4 linked regions of the Mus musculus genome follow. The protein of the gene in region 3 purifies or fractionates together with the protein of the main gene of each other region. This does not show direct contact. Links are inferred from orthologs where the notes say so. Each region holds a gene or a part of one and is shown on either strand. Other genes may lie near its edges. The genes, in order: Sirt1, Ahcyl1, Fgf11 and Ube2o.

What was found.
Region 1: the proteins of Fgf11 (region 3) and Sirt1 purify together in Homo sapiens (affinity purification with mass spectrometry; 3 studies listed by BioGRID and IntAct, with this or other methods). This does not show direct contact. The link is inferred for Mus musculus from reciprocal best matches to the Homo sapiens genes FGF11 and SIRT1.
Region 2: the proteins of Fgf11 (region 3) and Ahcyl1 purify together in Homo sapiens (affinity purification with mass spectrometry; 3 studies listed by BioGRID and IntAct, with this or other methods). This does not show direct contact. The link is inferred for Mus musculus from reciprocal best matches to the Homo sapiens genes FGF11 and AHCYL1.
Region 4: the proteins of Fgf11 (region 3) and Ube2o purify together in Homo sapiens (affinity purification with mass spectrometry; 3 studies listed by BioGRID and IntAct, with this or other methods). This does not show direct contact. The link is inferred for Mus musculus from reciprocal best matches to the Homo sapiens genes FGF11 and UBE2O.

What each region holds. Positions count from the first base shown.
Region 1 is NC_000076.6:63,328,338-63,332,742, forward strand, and holds part of Sirt1 (NAD-dependent protein deacetylase sirtuin-1), read right to left. Parts: intron 3,561-4,405; coding exon 3,408-3,560; intron 1-3,407. UniProt on the Homo sapiens protein: NAD-dependent protein deacetylase that links transcriptional regulation directly to intracellular energetics and participates in the coordination of several separated cellular functions such as cell cycle, response to DNA damage, metabolism, apoptosis and autophagy.
Region 2 is NC_000069.6:107,668,594-107,672,998, reverse strand, and holds part of Ahcyl1 (S-adenosylhomocysteine hydrolase-like protein 1), read left to right. Parts: intron 1-862; coding exon 863-957; intron 958-1,754; coding exon 1,755-1,861; intron 1,862-2,678; coding exon 2,679-2,795; intron 2,796-3,043; coding exon 3,044-3,107; intron 3,108-3,817; coding exon 3,818-3,906; intron 3,907-4,261; coding exon 4,262-4,332; intron 4,333-4,405. UniProt on the Homo sapiens protein: Multifaceted cellular regulator which coordinates several essential cellular functions including regulation of epithelial HCO3(-) and fluid secretion, mRNA processing and DNA replication.
Region 3 is NC_000077.6:69,799,225-69,804,267, forward strand, and holds the start of Fgf11 (fibroblast growth factor 11), read right to left. Parts: upstream 3,057-5,043; 5' UTR 2,402-3,056; coding exon 2,209-2,401; intron 553-2,208; coding exon 442-552; coding exon of another isoform or gene 418-441; intron 232-417; coding exon 128-231; intron 1-127. Other genes in the region: Tmem102 (transmembrane protein 102), read right to left, coding at 4,391-5,043.
Region 4 is NC_000077.6:116,546,414-116,550,818, reverse strand, and holds part of Ube2o ((E3-independent) E2 ubiquitin-conjugating enzyme UBE2O), read left to right. Parts: intron 1-1,725; coding exon 1,726-1,785; intron 1,786-1,938; coding exon 1,939-2,049; intron 2,050-3,850; coding exon 3,851-3,948; intron 3,949-4,294; coding exon 4,295-4,358; intron 4,359-4,405. UniProt on the Homo sapiens protein: E2/E3 hybrid ubiquitin-protein ligase that displays both E2 and E3 ligase activities and mediates monoubiquitination of target proteins. Negatively regulates TRAF6-mediated NF-kappa-B activation independently of its E2 activity.

The sequences.
Region 1 (4,405 bases), on a different chromosome or scaffold from region 3:
GGTCTCATATAGAAAAAGAAGTCAAAGATGATCTGTAAATAGACGTGGCGGTCATAAAACTGACTCAAGGACAGAATAGTAAATGTAAAACAGTGGTCCTGTGACAGCTCCCAGTTATTAACAATTAATTCTCAGCTAATATGGTAGAGTAAGATTGGGAAGAAGCTAGTGAGCCGACACATAATCTCTGAGGGAGAACAATATTTAGACTAGAGATTACAATTACTAACATTGTGTATCTACAATGTCTTGATGTAAGAGTAGAAATACCTATGTAAAGTAATGGATGTTAACGATATAGCCATCCTATAAATACAATATAATGTATACCATAAAAAATGCACTTATCTGTCCACTTAAAGTAATCCATAGGTCATCACTCATGGAGAATTATACAATATTTCATCACATTTCAGGAAATAATTTTGATAGTATGTATGCCAAACCGACTAACCAAATAAAAGAATTTCAACTAGGGAAGCTATGAACTAATTCTTACTGAACTTGAACATGAACATGCAAAACTCACACACATATGATAATGCAGAGCATTACACATACTTCATGTTATACATAGTTCATATGGATAAAACTGAATTAAAGGTAGGGTCTTATTATGTAGCCCTAGATGGTCCACCTGCCTCTAACTCCAAAGGACTGAGATTAAAGACCTGCACTACCATACCTAACCCTTGGTTTTTTATATTAAGAAGTAATTTTATATAAATGAGTGCTTTGCCTGAAGGTAATATATATGTACCACATGCTTGCTTGGTGCCCAAGGATGACAGAAAGGGGAGTTGGAGAGAAGTGGAGTAATGGATGGTTATGAGCCACCATGTGAGTGGTAGGAACCAAACTCTGATCCTCTGTGCAAGAACAAGTGCTGCTCTCAACGGCCCCCATTTTAACACTTTTAATTATCTGCATGTCTGGGGTAGAGGATGTGGGTGAGTGCAGGTGCCATGAAGTGGAGGCCTGAAGGCCAGCAGCACGTGACTCAACTGGGCCTGGGGATAACTGCAGCTGTAGAGCCTCTGGATACAGATGCTGGAAACTGACCTCTGAAAGGTGCAAGCAGCAGCATGCACACATAACCACTGGCTCGCCTCTCCAGCCTCTGTTGTCTGAGATGACTATGAAGACTTTTTCCAGATTTCCTCCCTGCCCATGTTTGTTAGGTGGTACATAAAAAGGGGGAGTTCTCTGGTGAGGCTTTTAGGGTCTACATATAGAATATCATCCACAAACTAAGGTCACTTTAATTATCCCATCTATCTTTTTTTAATCAAACTAATTTTTTATGCCTTTAATCTGCCCTAAAACACAATTAAAATTTAGGAAAAACATACTTTAGCATGTGTATTCTTTGTGGGTAGCAAAATCTGGGGCCTTGTGCTAAAAATGGTCTACCACTGTGTGCTATTTCACTCTGTAACCCAGGAGAGCCTGGAACTCAAGTGTTTAGCAGAGACTGCCCTTAACTCTTGAGACCCTTCTGCCTCCACCTCCTAAACCCTGGATTAGGGACATAAAAGGGTTAGCTTGTTACGCATTATTGGAGAGCTAAGTTTACTGGAATTCTAGTCCTTATAATCCCCTAAAGAGGAACAAAATGATGCTTGCCCATACACCTACATAAGCAATAAATAACTAAATGTAATTTTAAGAACATGTGGAACTTTCAATTTTAGATATGTATCTGCACTTGACAATCCCGGTAAAATACTGGGGGGGAAAAAAAAAAAGACTAGTTATGACAATGCAGTTTCCCCAACTCACAACATAGAATTTATAAGAAAAGTTGTGGGAATACTAACATATAATCACTAACCAGCTATGCTTGTATAAGATGAAAGTAACTTTTACTTGCTGGCCTTCCTAAATCTGTGTCTACTTATAGTAGACACCATGATACACCAGGGTCCTGCATCCATTAAAACAATCTTTGACTGGTATTCTTTAAACAGTGTAGCAGCACAGCTTCCAATAGTACACCTTAGCTGCAAAGTCTGGCCATCCTCTAATCCCAGCACCAGGATACGGAGACAAGAACTAAAGCACCCTTACAGTTCTGAGACTGTACTGAAGGAAGACAGCCTTTCTAATCCACCTTAGGGCTTACAAGATGGGAGGTGGATTGGGAGATAAGTCTGTTGCCTAATCTGCTGACCTGAGTTCTAATCCAGGAACTCTCGTGTGATGTGGGGGAACCCAACCCCCTAAACTAAGGTAGTGCTGTCACATCCACCGGTGCACTTGGGAGTGCAACACCATTCACCACTCCACCCCTCCACAGATGAAACTTTTAAAGACGTCTCTAAAACATCTCTCTAAATCAGAAAAGCCTTGCATATGTATTTCCAAGTTCCCTAACAGTGAACATAACAGCCAGGCATAGCAGCTCCTGCTCTAATCCCAACAGATGGGAGTTAGACGCAGGAGGCTCAGGAAATTCAAAAGCCATGGCTAAGCAAAATTCAAGACCGGCCTGGCCTACATCAGACTGCCTCAAAACAAAAAACCTTAAGATTAAACTGGAAAAAAAAAACAAAAAAACAAAGAAACAAAACAAATAAAACCTTGCAAAGTTTCTAGTGACTAAAATCTTGAGACAATTTATATAAACTTTATATTCTACAGCAGAGCAGAGCTGCACAGCAGACATAGGAGCCAAGTGTTCAATTTCTTTAGTTCACATGAAAGTGAAATTTTCAAATGCCTAATAAAAAATTGCTACTGCTTTGTTTTTGAAGCTGAGTCTCATGATGTAGCCCTCCCTGGCAGGTCATGAAGTATCCTGTGCCCCTGAAATCCCGGAGCTGCAGGACTTGTATTATTATGCCTGGCTCCTGAACATAGTCCCAAACATAAAAATGTTTGCTTGTTAGTATTTAATAAGTACAATTAGTATATTTCACTTTTCTTTAGCAAAGTATTTAAAATCCTTAAGTAAGCATGCCCTCACTGTGTCATTACACACATTCAATAGCCACATGCAGTCACATGGTGGTGACTGACTTATCAACTAGAAAGACGTCCCTTGTAATGTTTCCCAAAACATGTAATCTCAACCTTGAGTTATTAAAAATCATTTTAGACATATGCATATATTAAGACCTGTCCATTATAAAACATACCACATAGTAGTCATAGAACCTTTATGATTCAGAAAAAAAAGAGTAAGTGAAAACAAGTCTTTCTTTTTTTTTTCAGATCTACAAACTTCCAAAGGAGAGGGCAAGACACACAGGCAAAAGACCAAAATTACATTATTTAAAATCAGTCCTAAACAACTTAAGTTCTAACTACCACACTGGTAGCCTCCAAATCACTGGGCAATGAATGTAAACTTAAAAAGCCTACACGTGAGAACTCTTTATCATAAAGACAAAAACGTGTGATACCTTTGCAAACTTGAAGAATGGTCTTGGGTCTTTTCTAAAATACTCAATATCAAACATGGCTTGAGGGTCTGGGAGGTCTGGGAAGTCCACCGCAAGGCGAGCATAGATACCGTCTCTTGATCTGAAGTCAGGAATCCCACAGGAGACAGAAACCTGAAACAGACAAGACCTAAGTCAACCCATTAACTGTCTACCTTCACAGTAAGTACCTTTACTACATACAATTTAGTGGGAAGAGATGAAAAATCAAAGTTTGAACAGAAACACCACAAGCTTTCTAATTTCAAATACAGGTAAAATACGTAAATAAGTATAATTAAATCTGCCACATACTGCTTTAATGGGCTAATCTTAACCCTTTGAGCATTTAAACAAATTAAAACAAATACAATTGGTTGGAATAAATCTTTTTTTTTTTTTTTTTTTTGGTTTTTCGAGACAGGGTTTCTCTTTATAGCCCTGCCTGTCCTAGAACTCACTTTCTCACTTTGTAGACCAGGCTGGCCTCGAACTCAGAAATCCGCCTGCCCCTGCCTCCCGAGTGCTGGGATTAAAGGTGTGCGCCACCACACCCAGCTCAATTTCATTTTTTAACCAAAAAGTAGGTACAACTTTTTACCAATCATTCCAAACTGACCTCACATAGGCAGCTTTACTACCTCAAGAATACTCAAGTTTTGAAACTTTATTCAATACTGTATTATAGACTGAGCACACTGGTTCATGCTTAAAGTCTCAGATACTCAGGGAGACTGAAGGGCTGTTTGGGCTCTGATTTCCAAGACTACCTGGGGACAATCACAGCAGCAAAATCATTCTCAAAAAAGGGTTTGGGATCTTTGTTATGTTGTCCAGGAGTTAGAACTACCTTACACATATCACAGCAAAGTTTGTTGGGTTTGTTTGGTTTTTTTTTTTTTCAGAAGCCATTAGGCTTTATTATTTTATATGAACATAGGGAAGCCTACATGTATATGTGTTCTACACAGGTGCCTGGT
Region 2 (4,405 bases), on a different chromosome or scaffold from region 3:
ATATATGTGCTATAAGTTTTAATTAAAAATAAAATAATTTTTATTGTCAAAATGTTCAAAAGCACCGGGCGGTGGTGGCGCACGCCTTTAATCCCAGCACTTGGGAGGCAGAGGCAGGTGGATTTCTGAGTTCAAGGCCAGCCTGGTCTACAAAGTGAGTTCCAGGACAGCCAGGGCTATACAGAGAAACCCTGTCTCCAAAAAAAAAAAAAGTTCAAAAGCACATCACCTTACACCTTCTAAGATCTTGAGAAAGTTACAGAATAGACTTTGTTTAATTCATTTCTAATAGCTGTTTATTGTAGAAGATTTAAGAAATTTAAAAAAAAAACAAAGATTTGACAAGCTTCTCTTTATATATTGGTAAACCAAATTTTAGTATATACACATTTTTTTATAACCGAAACATTCCATTTTGAGAAGTAATTTATCGTGTCACTGAAAAGTGACCACATCATTCATTCATATGGCCACATGATTTTACTTCTTCATTTTCCTAAAATCGCATGTTTAAATTATTCTGAGACATCTGTTGGTATCTAGAGTGTCTAGTATTGGTGTTCCTAAGAGTGCTCTAGGAACTTTGTTTTTACATACTTCATTTTGCCTCCTTAAGATGCAGTATAAAGTATAAAATTGACCTAAAAGACAGCAATATTTTATGACTCCAAGATATTTTTTAATATAGAAATCTCTTAATTTCTTAACTGAAGTAATTTCTGAACTAAAAAGTACTATTTTGACTTTTATTCTTTAAGTTTTCCCTCTTCGGAATTGTTTCTTTTCCCTTTCATTCTTCATATGGATCTCAGAAGTTGGTACATCAGAAGCAACATTAATTGATGTATTTCTGTCTCCGTAGGAGTCGCGGTGTTTGCTTGGAAGGGCGAGTCAGAAGATGATTTCTGGTGGTGCATTGACCGCTGTGTCAACATGGATGGGTGGCAGGCTAACATGGTAATCATTCATGTCTACTCCATAGTTTTACTATGGATTTATTTCCTTTTCTCCCTTAAATCATGGTTCCCTAAATATATTTCTTTGTGTTTGGTCTTATTACTGGCTATATTGCTAAAGTGTTCATAACACAATACCTACTCGGTATGGATCTAAGATGCACAAGGCCCTGGATTCAATATCCAGCACCAATAAGAAAGAAAGGAAGGATGGAAAGAAAAGAAAAGAAATGAAAGCAAGGTCTGAGAAGTGAATAGGAAGGTGGGGGAAGGGTAAGCTGAGATGGACACATGACTCAAACACAGCAGAATAAACAGAAGGAAATGATGTGGTCCCTCTTTGGAGTAGGAGTCTTATTTCTTTTCTTCCCACTCCACTTCTCCTTTTGCATTCAAAGGAGCCATATATTTCAACTAGACTGAAAATGAGCCCACGACTTGTAATACTTATTTACTGTAGCTGGGCATGACCAAATGCCTATAAGCCCAGCATTTGAGAGGCTGAAACAGGAGGAGTCCTTGAGCTCAGGAATTTTAGACTAGCCTGAGCAACATAGTAAGTTCCAGTCTCAAAAAAGAGCTTTCCACTGTAGCCTAGAACTCATTTAGGATTTCTTTTAACCATTTTACACCAACAGATTTAACTATATTTTTACTGTCTAAGCCTATTCTGCAGAGCGTTAAGAAGTGCTCTTTCAAAATATCCAGGGCTCTCTCACTAGTGTAGAAAATGGGCTCAAAGTTCCCCCTAGCTCTAGCAGCCTGAATGCCCATAGAAGTCTTCTGGCTGTTCTGTAGATCCTGGATGATGGGGGAGACTTAACCCACTGGGTTTATAAGAAGTATCCAAACGTGTTTAAGAAGATCCGAGGCATTGTGGAAGAGAGCGTGACTGGTGTTCACAGGTAACAGATTCTGGAGTAGCTGCCCCTTGTGTCCTTGCCTCATCAAATTCTTCTGGTCTCTCCTAGACTTTAGGGCTGTGTTTCAGACTTAAAATAACCAAGTGGGAGTGTCTTCATTAGATAAAACCGAGTTTTTACTTTTGCAAAATCAAAGTGACCATAAAAGGAATTTTGAAGGAATTTTTTTAAAATTCTAATTGACATGTTTTTAATCTCTCCCATTTGCTCCACTGAGTAACTAATTAACAGTATTTGGGGGTAAGGGTGTAGAGAGGAATGTGTCTTGGAAAACTTGTGCTCAATGTTGTATTATAATTTTTATATTTTAAATATGGAGGGAAAAGTCTATTGAAAAACTACAGGTGATGCAACAGAAAGTAAAACTGGAGATAGACTCCTGGCTTGGAGGAAGTAACTAAATGGTATCTAGGACTATTGCTCTGCGGGCACAGTGTGCGTGGTTGCTCTCACAGACACAGTAAACCACATCAGAACCGTTGCTGTCTTTGTTTACCTGAAGTAAACATGAGTATTTAAAGTCAGAACAGTGCTGCCCTAAGGTTACAATGCTCCCTTTGCAGAAGAGCAGTAAATTGCTTCAACTGAAAAGTTTTTTATTTTTCGTTTAAAATTAAAGGATAAAATAGAAGGAAATGAGTTGAGGACAAGAGACTAGTCACGTTTCCAAAGAACTTCTGGGCATAAATAAGACTAAGGAGGGCAGCATGGAGCTTGAAGAGACAGAAGCAGACTTGCTATTTATTGTTTATAACCTAACTAGTTGTGTGTTTGTTTTGTGGCTTCTTCTCCCTTTTAGGCTGTATCAGCTCTCCAAAGCTGGGAAGCTCTGTGTTCCAGCCATGAATGTCAATGATTCTGTTACCAAACAGAAGTTTGATAACCTGTACTGCTGCCGAGAATCCATTTTGGATGGGTATGTTGAAATGTATACCTTCAGATTTGCAGGGACTAGTAGTGGGATTTGTTTGACGTATCAGTTTGGTACCTATAGCTTGCCCTTGTAGTCTCCCTCCTTTACATGTTATTAAAGGAGCCCACTTCACAGTGATCTCAGCCAGCTTTCCATTGAATTTCTCCTGGGCACTGCCCTACACTTGAATTTGGTACAAAGGGACTGAGTTGTAAATGATGTTTGAGATGAGCCCTTGTCTGTTTCCACAGCCTGAAGAGGACCACGGATGTGATGTTTGGTGGGAAACAGGTGGTGGTGTGTGGCTATGGTGAGGTAAATAGTTGGGCCCATATCTCTGTCTTATTAGAAGGCTTTAGAGAAACATGGGATGGAGACAGTCTAGGAACACTGATGAATGTTTTTCCATGCTGTGCTTGAAAACAGTGGGAAAGTCCTTTTCATATTTGTGAGTTAAAGGCAGAGTGTACTGAATTTTCATATTTTAGCAGTTTATCTTATTGATTGATGTCAGCATTACTGCCTCCCACTTAAAGCCTTTTATGAAATAAAAGTTAAGTGAATAAGTAACATTTTATCCCCATCTTATGGCTTGCATCGTAGAAACTGAAGTGACATTATAGTCGAGTATCTTTAAACTGGACTAGGTCCTAGGGAGTGTCATTGTCTTCAGCAGTGGTCCACTGAAGTCCTTGGGCTGCTAGGTATTCAGTAGACACATTGGAAGTGAGTTTTGCCAGGTTTTTATGGAATAAATCATTTGTTCTTGTTTGAACTTGTTTTCATAATGGTAACAATTACGCAGAGCCTCCCTCTCCCCACCTCTTGTTGTGACTTGTCTGCTAAATTATCTCTAATTGAAGTTTACAGCCTAGTTTGGGTTTCTTTCTGCTCCAGCTGGGACTGGAGTGTTCACTGGATGATGCTGATTTAAAGAGGCTAATTCCTATCTCCTCAAAAGCTTGTCTCCCCCAATGATCGTATCTTCTTAGATCTGGCAACTTGGGCTTTCCTATATTCTGCAGGTAGGAAAGGGCTGCTGTGCTGCTCTCAAGGCCCTTGGAGCAATTGTCTACATAACAGAAATTGACCCCATCTGTGCTCTGCAGGCCTGGTAAGGACAGAGTGCTGGTACCACTCTTAGGTTTGAGGTCCACGCCTTGTATTTCTGAGAGCCGGTGGCTGATGACTCACTTTACTGTTTGTGGAGAAGTCTCCCGGGGAAGAGTAAGGTGCTTTGTTCCCTTCACTCGAAGCCATTTATGGGGCCTCTTGGCATTTTCTCTTGCTGTGTAGACTCGTGGGGCCCGGCAGAAGCCAGTCTGTAGTTCACTATAGCTCATCATTTACTATTTCTGGGATGGAGCATTAGCTTTTACTTCAGAAGGGGATTTTGTTGTCTAGCTTTGTCAACGTGAGCCACACAGCACACTTTGCTTTGCTTATAGTGTTGCTTTCTTTTCTTCCAGCATGGATGGGTTCAGGGTGGTGAAGCTGAATGAAGTCATCCGGCAGGTGGACGTTGTAATTACTTGCACAGGTGAGTATCAGTGCTTTGCTGCATGGAGAACAGTGCTAACTCTCAGGTTGAATCTCAGAAGGTAAGACCTGTG
Region 3 (5,043 bases):
TAGGCCCTAGACAAGCCAAAACAGGAAGGACAGAGTCCTGGGTGTAAGCCATGTGTGTAGCAAAGGATGATTATGTGCTGAGGGTGTCCCCAGTCGTCCAGGCCACTCAGCCTCATTGTCCTCTTACCGAGCTGTACAATAGCCCCTCAGCGTTCATGGCCATGTAGTGACCCAGCTTGGCACTCTGGATGGTGACCACACGGAGTCCCACAGGAATCAGATTGAAGTGGGCTGGGGTGGGGGTGGGGGAGTGGAAAGCAAGCAGTCAATACCCAAGTACCTCATTTCCATCTGAGCCCCGCCCCCCAACTCCAGCCTCACTGCCTCCCTTGGGGCCCAAGAAGACAAATGGAAGGCAGCCAAGCCTGAAGAGGTGATAGGCTTGTCATCTCCTGTCCCCATCTCCCCACTGCCCACCCTGCAGCTGGTGTCCCTTCTCACTGAAGGAGCTGGTGTCCTCTGGGGTGCCCTGGATACTCCCATCGGGATTCGCCTGGAGGTAGAAACCCTGGCGGCAGAACAGTTTGGTGACGATGCCTTTGAGCTGAGGCTCTGGAGAGAGAGACATTTATCTTTGAAAATGACATCTCTGTTCCCAGAAACATTCCTACACTTGGCGGGATCACAGGAAAGAAGAAAGGGGAAATGAAGAGAAGAGGGTTCCAGGGCCCCAGCTCCTTTACCCTTCAAGCAAGCTTCCCTCCACCTCGCTTTGATTCCTGAGGAAGCTGGGGTGTGGGTCCCTTCCGCTTTCTCTAATCATGAGCGTCAGCTTAATTTATTGAAATTTATTTAAATGGTTTAATTCCTTTTCCCTACCAGAGTTGGGGGCGGGGAGGAGGTAGAAGAGAGAGAGAGAGAGAGAGAGAGAGAGAGAGAGAGAGAGAGAGAGAGAGAGAGAGAGAAACGGACAGTGCCAGAAACGCAGGGCAATGTGTTTGCAAATGTCGGGGTGAGCAGCAAGGTGACCACAGGGAAGGGGCTCCCCCTCAGAAGTAGGGGTGGGACTGGGCTTGACTGACGCTGACTCAGCACCTGCTGCTGCAGCTGCCGCTCGCTTGGCGCGGGCCTTGCTCTGGCACAGCGCCGGCCTGTCTGACACTGACCCATCTGTCTGTCTGTCTGTCAGTCAGTCGGCTGGCTCACGAGGGTCCAGTTTTCCCTGAGACTGAGCTTCTACCCTTCAGCCAGGTAACTGGCCTGGGATGGGGGACATTTAAACCACATCAAGGAAAAGGAAGAGGGGACAGAGATGGAGAGGCAGGCTGCATCACGTGGGGGCTGGGTCCCACTCAGAGGGTGGGCTGCGGACTGTACCACTACCTACCGTTGGTGGTGGGGGAGGAGGGCACAAGGGGCTACCCCTAAGGGAACCGGCAGCGGCCTGGAGCGAGGCCAGAGGGACTCCCTAACTGTCGTACCTGGACGGGAATCACATACCAGCCCTTACATCTCTCCTCTCCTGGTGGGGCTTGCTCTCTGCCGATTTCCCTGTTCCCCCTTGTAAGTGGTACGACCCCCCGCTTAAGTCCCTGTGCAGGTCTTCAGCTTGAACTATGTGTGAGTTCCTACTGGCTGAGGGTCCCCGGAGCCTGTGGGACTGGATTTCCGAGTCACACAGGAGTAATGGGAGGGGGTGCCCAGCACCCTTCTCGAAGCGCAGGTCACAGAAGGAGGGCGTACGGAGGGGGCTGACTGACGAGGTAGCCTGCAAGGACACCCGGGGGAGAGCTGGAGAGATTGGCTCCTGGCCAGGCGAGCTCGACCAGGAAGAACAGAGCCAAAGCGTGGAGGGGCGGGAGAGCCGGAGCGGGGGCGGGGCAGCCAGGGCTGCAGAAACCCTCGGGGTGACCCAAGCGTCCAGAACCCCTCAAGCCCCGCCACTTCGGATGGAAAGAATCGCGAGAACCCGCACGTAGGCGAAGAACCGTGGGGGGTGGGGAGTCCTGTGCTGAAGGGGGGCTGACAGGAGCAGAGAAGCTTGGGGCGCCAGACTTCGCCCCTCAAACCTTCCCCCTGCCCTCGAAAGCAAGGAGACTCGGCATTACAGGCAAAGAGGAAGAACCTGAAGGATAGTCCCGTAAATTCTGTCGTTCTGGCCCACCTCTTCCACTTCTGGGACACCCCCCTCCTCATCGGGCTTCAATCGTCAGGGTCCCTGGCCTCAGGCAGGACTTCTGTGGGAGACCCCGCCCTAGCCACACTCACCTGGGCCGCGGTCCTGTCGCGTGGGACGCCCCCCGCACAGTCGCACCTTGGACAGCAGGATGAGGAGCTGTTTCTGGCAAAGTGACTTGGTACCGCGGGGACACACGCGCCGCTGCGCCGACACGGGCCGGCTGCCCCCGGGCTCGCGGACCTCCCGCTTCTGTCGGATCAGGCTACTGGCCAACGCCGCCATCGCGCCCCGGGAGGAGACACCCCCAAACCAGCAGGCTCCCGGAGCGCCCTGGGCTCCCCAAGAGGAGCCCTCTCACCAGGGCATGCTCAGGACCCAACCCACCGCCCCACCCACAGGATCTGAAGAGAAACCCCAGACCCCAGTACGTTCCCCAACACCACCGGCTCCCACCCTTGGGCCCTGACTAGCTCCAGCGGCTCCAGCAGCCTATGCACTCCTCAGCTGACCTCACCCATGAATTCTGTCCCCTAATGAAAGCTTTCCCCTTCCCTCCTCTCTGGCCTCTGTACCAGATAGAAGATACCTCCTCTATCCCACAGTCAAGACCCTCCTATATTTCTAAGATGTGTTCTCAATACCCCGAGGCTTCTTTCTACCCTATTTTGGGGCCGCTCCTGCCCAGCCTACTCTTACACAGGGTGTGGGTCCTAAGCTTTGTGGACATTAGCTCACCCTAGGCTGCTGTCAATGTCAAGAGGAGCCCAGCTCTGTTTTCTTTTTTCCTTTTCTATACTCTAAATGGAGTGGGTCTCCCACTTTCTTCAAATCCCCCCTCTGCCAGCAAATATGACTCAAAATTCAGGCTGTTTAGGTTCAGTGAAAAGGGGTTCCCAGGCCCCCTGGCTGGATAATGCTTTTTCTCATTGTCACCCCCATTTCTAGTACCACAGAGTCCCAGCTGCTAACACCATTCCCTCACCTTGCTACCCTCCACTCCTTTTGAAGTCACCTCCAAATCAACCCTTCTTAGTGCAGACACCAGGTGGTTGTCTGCAGGACCCTCTGTCGCCCCGAAAAAAGGAGCATCCGCCGTTTCTGTCTGTTTTCTAGTTGCCCCTTAAATTTCCCGAGGAACAACTGGCACTGCTTAGATCCCACACCCTCCAATCTAACAAGGCCCCCAAGAGAGGAGTGCACCCACGTTGTCAACACTCCTCAAACGTGAACAGGCCCTTAATAAGTCACAGCGCATCAGAGCTTCCTGCGCCAGGGCTTTCTCGTCCTCCCTGGGACTGCTATAACACCCCTTCCTTTCCCCGACGCCCCTCAACCTGTCCTGTCCTGTTGATCCGGGCGACGGGTGCCGCGAGCTCCAGCTCCAGGCTCCTCCCTCCCTGTCACCCGCAAGCGGAGGTTTCCCCCCAACGTCGGCCTAAGCGTCCCGGACCCCCAGGAAGGAGTAAGGATGTCTCTGCAGAGCGCCTCGGTTCGGCAAAGTCAGAGCACTGGGCCTGGAGGTTGGACCAGGCAGAGCGGCGGAGGCAGCGGCAGCGGCTGTGGGAAGCTGAGGCGGCGGCGGCGACAGAGGCTCCCCCTCCTCTGCGAGCCGGCCTGGGGGCGGGGCAGGGGGCGGAGACGCTGGGAGAAGCTGGGCGGGCGGAACCCTGGGGTTCCTTGGAAGCTCTAAGTGGGAACTGTCACAGAGGCAGGCGGAGTAGAGGCAAGGCCTGCAAATCTCGGGGTTCAGAGGAGAGGAGACACGGAGCCTGATATGGCGGGGCTGGGGGCAGGGGGTCGATGGAATAGCCGACAGAGAGAAAATGAAAAGGGATTCTACTGCCTGGGATGGAAGTGAGGACAGAAATGGACGAGGAGAGTTGGGGGGAAAGTGGAGAAACCGGTAGCTGTGCCATCCAGTCTGGGCTGTGATCCGGCCTTAATATCTCTGGTTTGGTATGAGCCAATTGATCAGAACTAGGTTTCCAAAAACCAGTTCCTTCCCGCATTTTGTCAGTAAATACATTCCTACTATCCCTGTCAGACTCTGAAAGAATAGGGGAGAGAGGTTCCGGGAGGCAGTACCGGGACAGAAGGGGCGCCAGCCAGATTTAGAGAACTTGGGCCTCAGGCAGGGTAGAATACTGGGGAAACCTTTTAGAAAAGGGACTTTGGACCCAAGCATACACTGTCTGTATGGAGGGAGCAGCAGTCCCCTGCATGACCCTCTCACCAAAGGAAACACTTTCCATTCCCTTAGGAGTAAAATCTTTAATGGGTCCCGCCCCCTACGCCCGCTAAACCGCCCCCTTTGCGGGCAACCTTGGCTTCCTCTACAGCCTCACGCAAGGCCTGTGCAGGGTCCCCGCGGAGCTGGGCCAATGCCCCGCGCAGAGCAGCGGAGCCGTCTCCCACACGGAGCTTTCGGCCGCTCAAAAAATAATGAGGCAGCGCCCCGGCCTCTAGCACTCGGCTCAGCTCATCCAGTAGCCCAAGGCAACAAGCGCCGGCATTTTCCGGCCGCGCCAAGTAGAGCGCCGGGAGCCGCTCGCACGCCCAGTAGAGCAAGGTCCGCAGGAGGTAGGGCGCAGCGGCTCGGGTCCCCGCCACCAGCGGGCGCAGCAGCGCCTGGGCCGCCGCGTGTGCCTGAAGCAGCGGCGTGGGGATGCGCTCTTTGAGCGCCAGCTCCTGGCGAGCGAAGCACAGCTGCCATCCAGAGGTGCTCGGCTGCTCTGGGAGGCTGCCCGGCACTAGGTAGAAAGAGGCCGATTCAGAGACCAGTGGACCCGCCCACGAGTGGCTCCGAGCCGTGTCAGGCCAGCCTGTCACGGTCACCACCGGGATCAAGTCGAAGAGCAGGAGGTGGCGTGGGGGCTCTGGAGTTGCCAGGAGGACCGTGGTGACACCTGCGTGACGAGCTGCAT
Region 4 (4,405 bases), about 47 Mb from region 3:
CATGACTTCCCCCCAGGCTATTTTGGAATAGCTTCTTTCCTGCTATTCCAAAACTTAGGTTCACCGATGCTTTCCAGGAAATGCTAGTTTACAACTGGCTGGTAAACTCGGAGTTGCTGAACTTTTTTTTTTCTTTTTAATTTTTAATGATAAGAAACAAAAATATACCTAAAAGCATAGCTTGTGGAAAAACCATTTGTTCTCTCCTGTCTTGTATTGTTCTTCCAACTGACCTTGGCCTCCCCAGCCTTGCGTTTCAGAGCTGAGTCTCTAAAGACATCCTTCTTGACAACCGTTCCCTCTGAGAGGCTATCCAGAGCACCTGTAGGCATGAGGTGGTTACAGTTATAAACGTTCATAAAGAACTTGATCTTGGAGTTTTTGGCAATCTTCTTTTTACCTCCATTTCACACGTCCTGTATGAGCTTGTTCTGATCAGGCTGTCCATGTGGATCCTCCCCCCTCCCCTGGCAGTACCTGGACCTGACAGAGGCCATCGGGTTGTGTGCAGACGCAGCTCAAGGCTCTCGTCAAGGCCGCGCTACTCTCTGCTTTCTGCGATGACTTAGGCCCCCTAATTGGTGGTGGTTTGACGTCTAAGCTAAGAAGGCAGTTGAGGTGAAGCTGAGGGTGGGGCAGGCACAAAGTGTCTTCACATTACTAGAAAAGGGAGCTGGCCTCTCCACCTTCCCTTCAGTGCCTTGAAGCTAGCCTTTCTGGACCTCAGCCTGTGTCCCTGTGGACAGGGAGTCAAGCAAGTATGGATGTAGTGGCTGTATGTGCCTGTGTGCGTGCACGCAGGCGCCAATGCTTTCTTTGTGGCTTCAATCCTGTCATGGGTCCCAGAGTTGGCTGCTGAGATACCATGTGTACTTGGAAGCAGCAGGCTGACACCAGTCACAGTGTTGTCTGTGGAACAGGTCCTGGGTCCCTGTGGCAGTTTATGTTTCCTGCTTAGCGGTGTACAGCCTACCTAGAGCTTGTGTGGGTTGTCCTTAGCAAAGCTTCAGTGACCTTGTACTTGCTTTTCAGCACTTCTGTCCTGCTCCTCTCTCTGCCAGTCACCTTTCGCAGCAGAGAGGCCGGCTGAGGTTACTGAGAGTCGGGGAGAGTCGGGGAGAGCCCTTCCTGGTGTGTGCCTGTCCGTCTCTGAGCAGGGGAGAGAGATGTAGCAACCACTTACAGGTTGTCCAAGAATGACAGAACAATCCCGATTTGGAGATACAAGAACAGAGAAGACAAAACAGCCTAGCAGAGAAGCAGCTCTTTCTGGGCCACAGAGGCCGCCCAGCAGCAGGAGGTGGCAGTTCTGGGGGTTCAGTTGGGTCAGGACAGGGTCTGCACTGCCACAGATAAGGAGCAGGATGCAGCTGGGCAGGCAGAATAGCCAGATTAGAAGGGTTGTGTCTAGTGACAGCTGGCTTCAGTGCCATGCCAGTCCTCCAACCACTCCTGAGCACCCATGAGCCAAGGTCAGAGGGTAGACCCTCAGAGAAGGATTTGACTCATCATAATGTTGGTTTTTGTAGGATGAGCTAACCTTGTGTGGTGTGACTATGCTTCCCAGTGCACAAGACTATCTCCAGTGTGTATGCTGGTGGGTGTGGGGGTGGGGGGCTACAGATAAAACCATCCTTTGTCTGCCTTTGGTGGGATGTACCTGGGTGGAATGCGTTCCACCTCAGATGTCTGTTTCCAGGCCTCTCATTCATGTTTTTTTCACAGCTGAAACTGGAGGACCGCTCTGTGGTGCCCCGGGATGTGGTTCGACACATGCGCTCAACTGTGAGTCCCTCATCCCCATCCCGCCCTGCACTTGAGCCTGTGTGCTCCCACTCTAATTTGGAAGAGATCTTGGTTGGAGGAGTGGAGAATATAGGGTGTGTCTTGGTGGGGTCTCCTATGGCAACCTGTGGGATGTTTTCCTTCCTCCTCTAGGACAGCCAGTGTGGCACGGTGATAGATGTCAACATTGACTGTGCCGTCAAGCTCATCGGCACCAACTGCATCATCTACCCTGTCAACAGCAAGGACCTCCAGCACATCTGGGTGAGTGGCTGTGTGGCCTCTGTGCTGCTGCTGCTGCTCCTGGCAAGTGTAGTCTTAATGGGGCCGATGCTCGGTGCTTGGTCACTGTGGCCAGCCTGCTCCAGGCAGGCTCCGTGTTGCCCTTGCCTGTGCGCTACTAGACAGGAGGTCAGAGTGTGCTCTGCCGCGGGCATCAGGATAGATCATGACAAATGTGGTCACATTACTTGTTTCTCATTGACCACAGACACGGATGTTTGTTTGTTTGTTTGTTTGTTGTATGTGGGTATTTTGCAGGAATATAGTCTGTGTGTACTACTTGCATGTCTGATACCAGAAGTGGGAGTTGGATACCTTGGAACTGGAATAATGGAGTTGTGAGCCTCTGTGAGGGTGCTGGGAATGGACCCAGGTCCTCAGCAAGAGCAGGCAGTACTCTTTAACTGCTGAGCCGTCTCTCTATCTCCATCCAAGAAGGCTGGAGAGATGGTCCCACGGGCAAGACTACTTACTACTCTTGTTAAAGACACAGATCCCGAGGACCCAGCTCTGTCCTTGACTTCTGAGAACACCAGGCACACACATGGCTCACAAACACACATGCAGCAAAGTACTCATACACATAAAAGTAACAGCAAAACAGAGTTCTTTTTAATCATTTCTTTTGTAAAGGACTTTAAACTTACCCAGAAGTGCTAAGTCTGTGTGCCCACTCTCCAGTGTGTGCAGCTGCTGACCTCCCATTGACCCCGGTCATCTTCATCTCCTGAACTATCTGAAAGCAAGCTACACATACAGCCCCCAGCACCCCTGCTCACTACTACATTTTGTGCTTTCCAAAATTTGGATATAGCCCGTAGACGGGGGAGTAAGTGGTGACCATACTGCCTGAGCCTCAGACTGCTCGCTGTCCTTTCCCTCTGGCCCTGAGCCCATCCGCCTGGCGTTTGCCTGTCAGTTCTTTTTCTTTCCCATCTGGGATGTTGTTGTACACCCCGGACAATGGTGCTGCAAAAGCTCATGCATGATGATGTCTCGTGGACAGACTCACTCCCAGGATGCCTCTGGCTGTGCAGCTAGCTTTTTTTATGTCCAGTGCTACTCTGCCGCTGGAGATGCTCACTCTGCGCACAGGTCATGTTGGTCTTCACAGCCCTCACCACTGTAAACTCATCCTTTACCCCCAGTAAGCTATTATATCTCACACATCACAAATGTCCGTGTCAGACCTGCAAGCCTTAGTCTTGGGAGCATTGCCATGTAAACAGGCCACGGCTCTGACAGTCGCAGGTGGTGTCTTCCTCAAGTCACTGCCCCCGCATTTCTATTGGTTGGCATTCTTGTGTGTGCCTACAGAGCTGTGCCTACTGCCCTGTTTCTTTGCTCATTCGTTTTCTATGAGGTGCACTCGAGAGTTGTGTTTCATTCATCAGCTCAGCCCTCTCATCACTCAGTACTCACATCCCATTCTGCTTCAGTTGTCGTGAGGAAGCTCCTCAGGGATGGCTTCTGTCTGCCCAACAGTTTTCAACAGTGACAACACTGCGCTCAGTGTTCCCAGTGGGTCCCCCTTGATTCATGGTCTTTACCTATCCACAAAGCCCACCCCCACCCATGCCAGCCTCCTAGTGCTGTCCTCTGCCGCTGTGGACACTCCCACCCACGAGGCAGCCATAGGCTGCTCCTGCCTGCTCGGTGGAAAGGGACTTGGGATGCAGTGCAGATACGTTGTCTAGAGCCTTTTACATCCCAATGGGGTGTAGAAGATCCCAGGCTCCGTGGTGTCTGCCCTCGCTCACTGCTCTGTGTCCTTGATCTGCAGCCCTTCATGTATGGAGACTATATCGCCTATGACTGCTGGCTGGGGAAGGTCTATGACTTGAAGAACCAGATCATCCTCAAGTTGTCTAATGGTGCCAGGTAGGTGTCATCTTAGGGACAGCTGCCTGCTCTACAGTCCAGGAGAGTTGTTCCAGGTCTGTGAGGTCGGGTGTGGTCCAGGACAGTAACGGTGATGCTGGCATTCAGCATCCGGAGCTCAGTGGTAACTCTTGTCTCTGCTGCTACAGCTCAGGAGTCTCTGAGGGCCAGTGCTCTGTTGTGCATGTCTTAATAATGGCAGGCACTTAGGTTGAGCTGGGGCTCCTGTCCTGTGGCAGAGGCTGAGCTGTAGGTGCAAGATGGTGTGTTTTAGGGCGTGTTTTAGTCTTGGTGTTTAGTGCTGACTGAGTCCTGGTGGAGACCAAGCCTCTGTCTACTGTTTCAGGTGCTCCATGAACACAGAAGATGGTGCCAAACTCTACGATGTCTGCCCTCACGTCAGCGACTCGGTACATATCTCTGCCAGAGGGAGTCACCCCTGTCTGTTCCCCGCTGC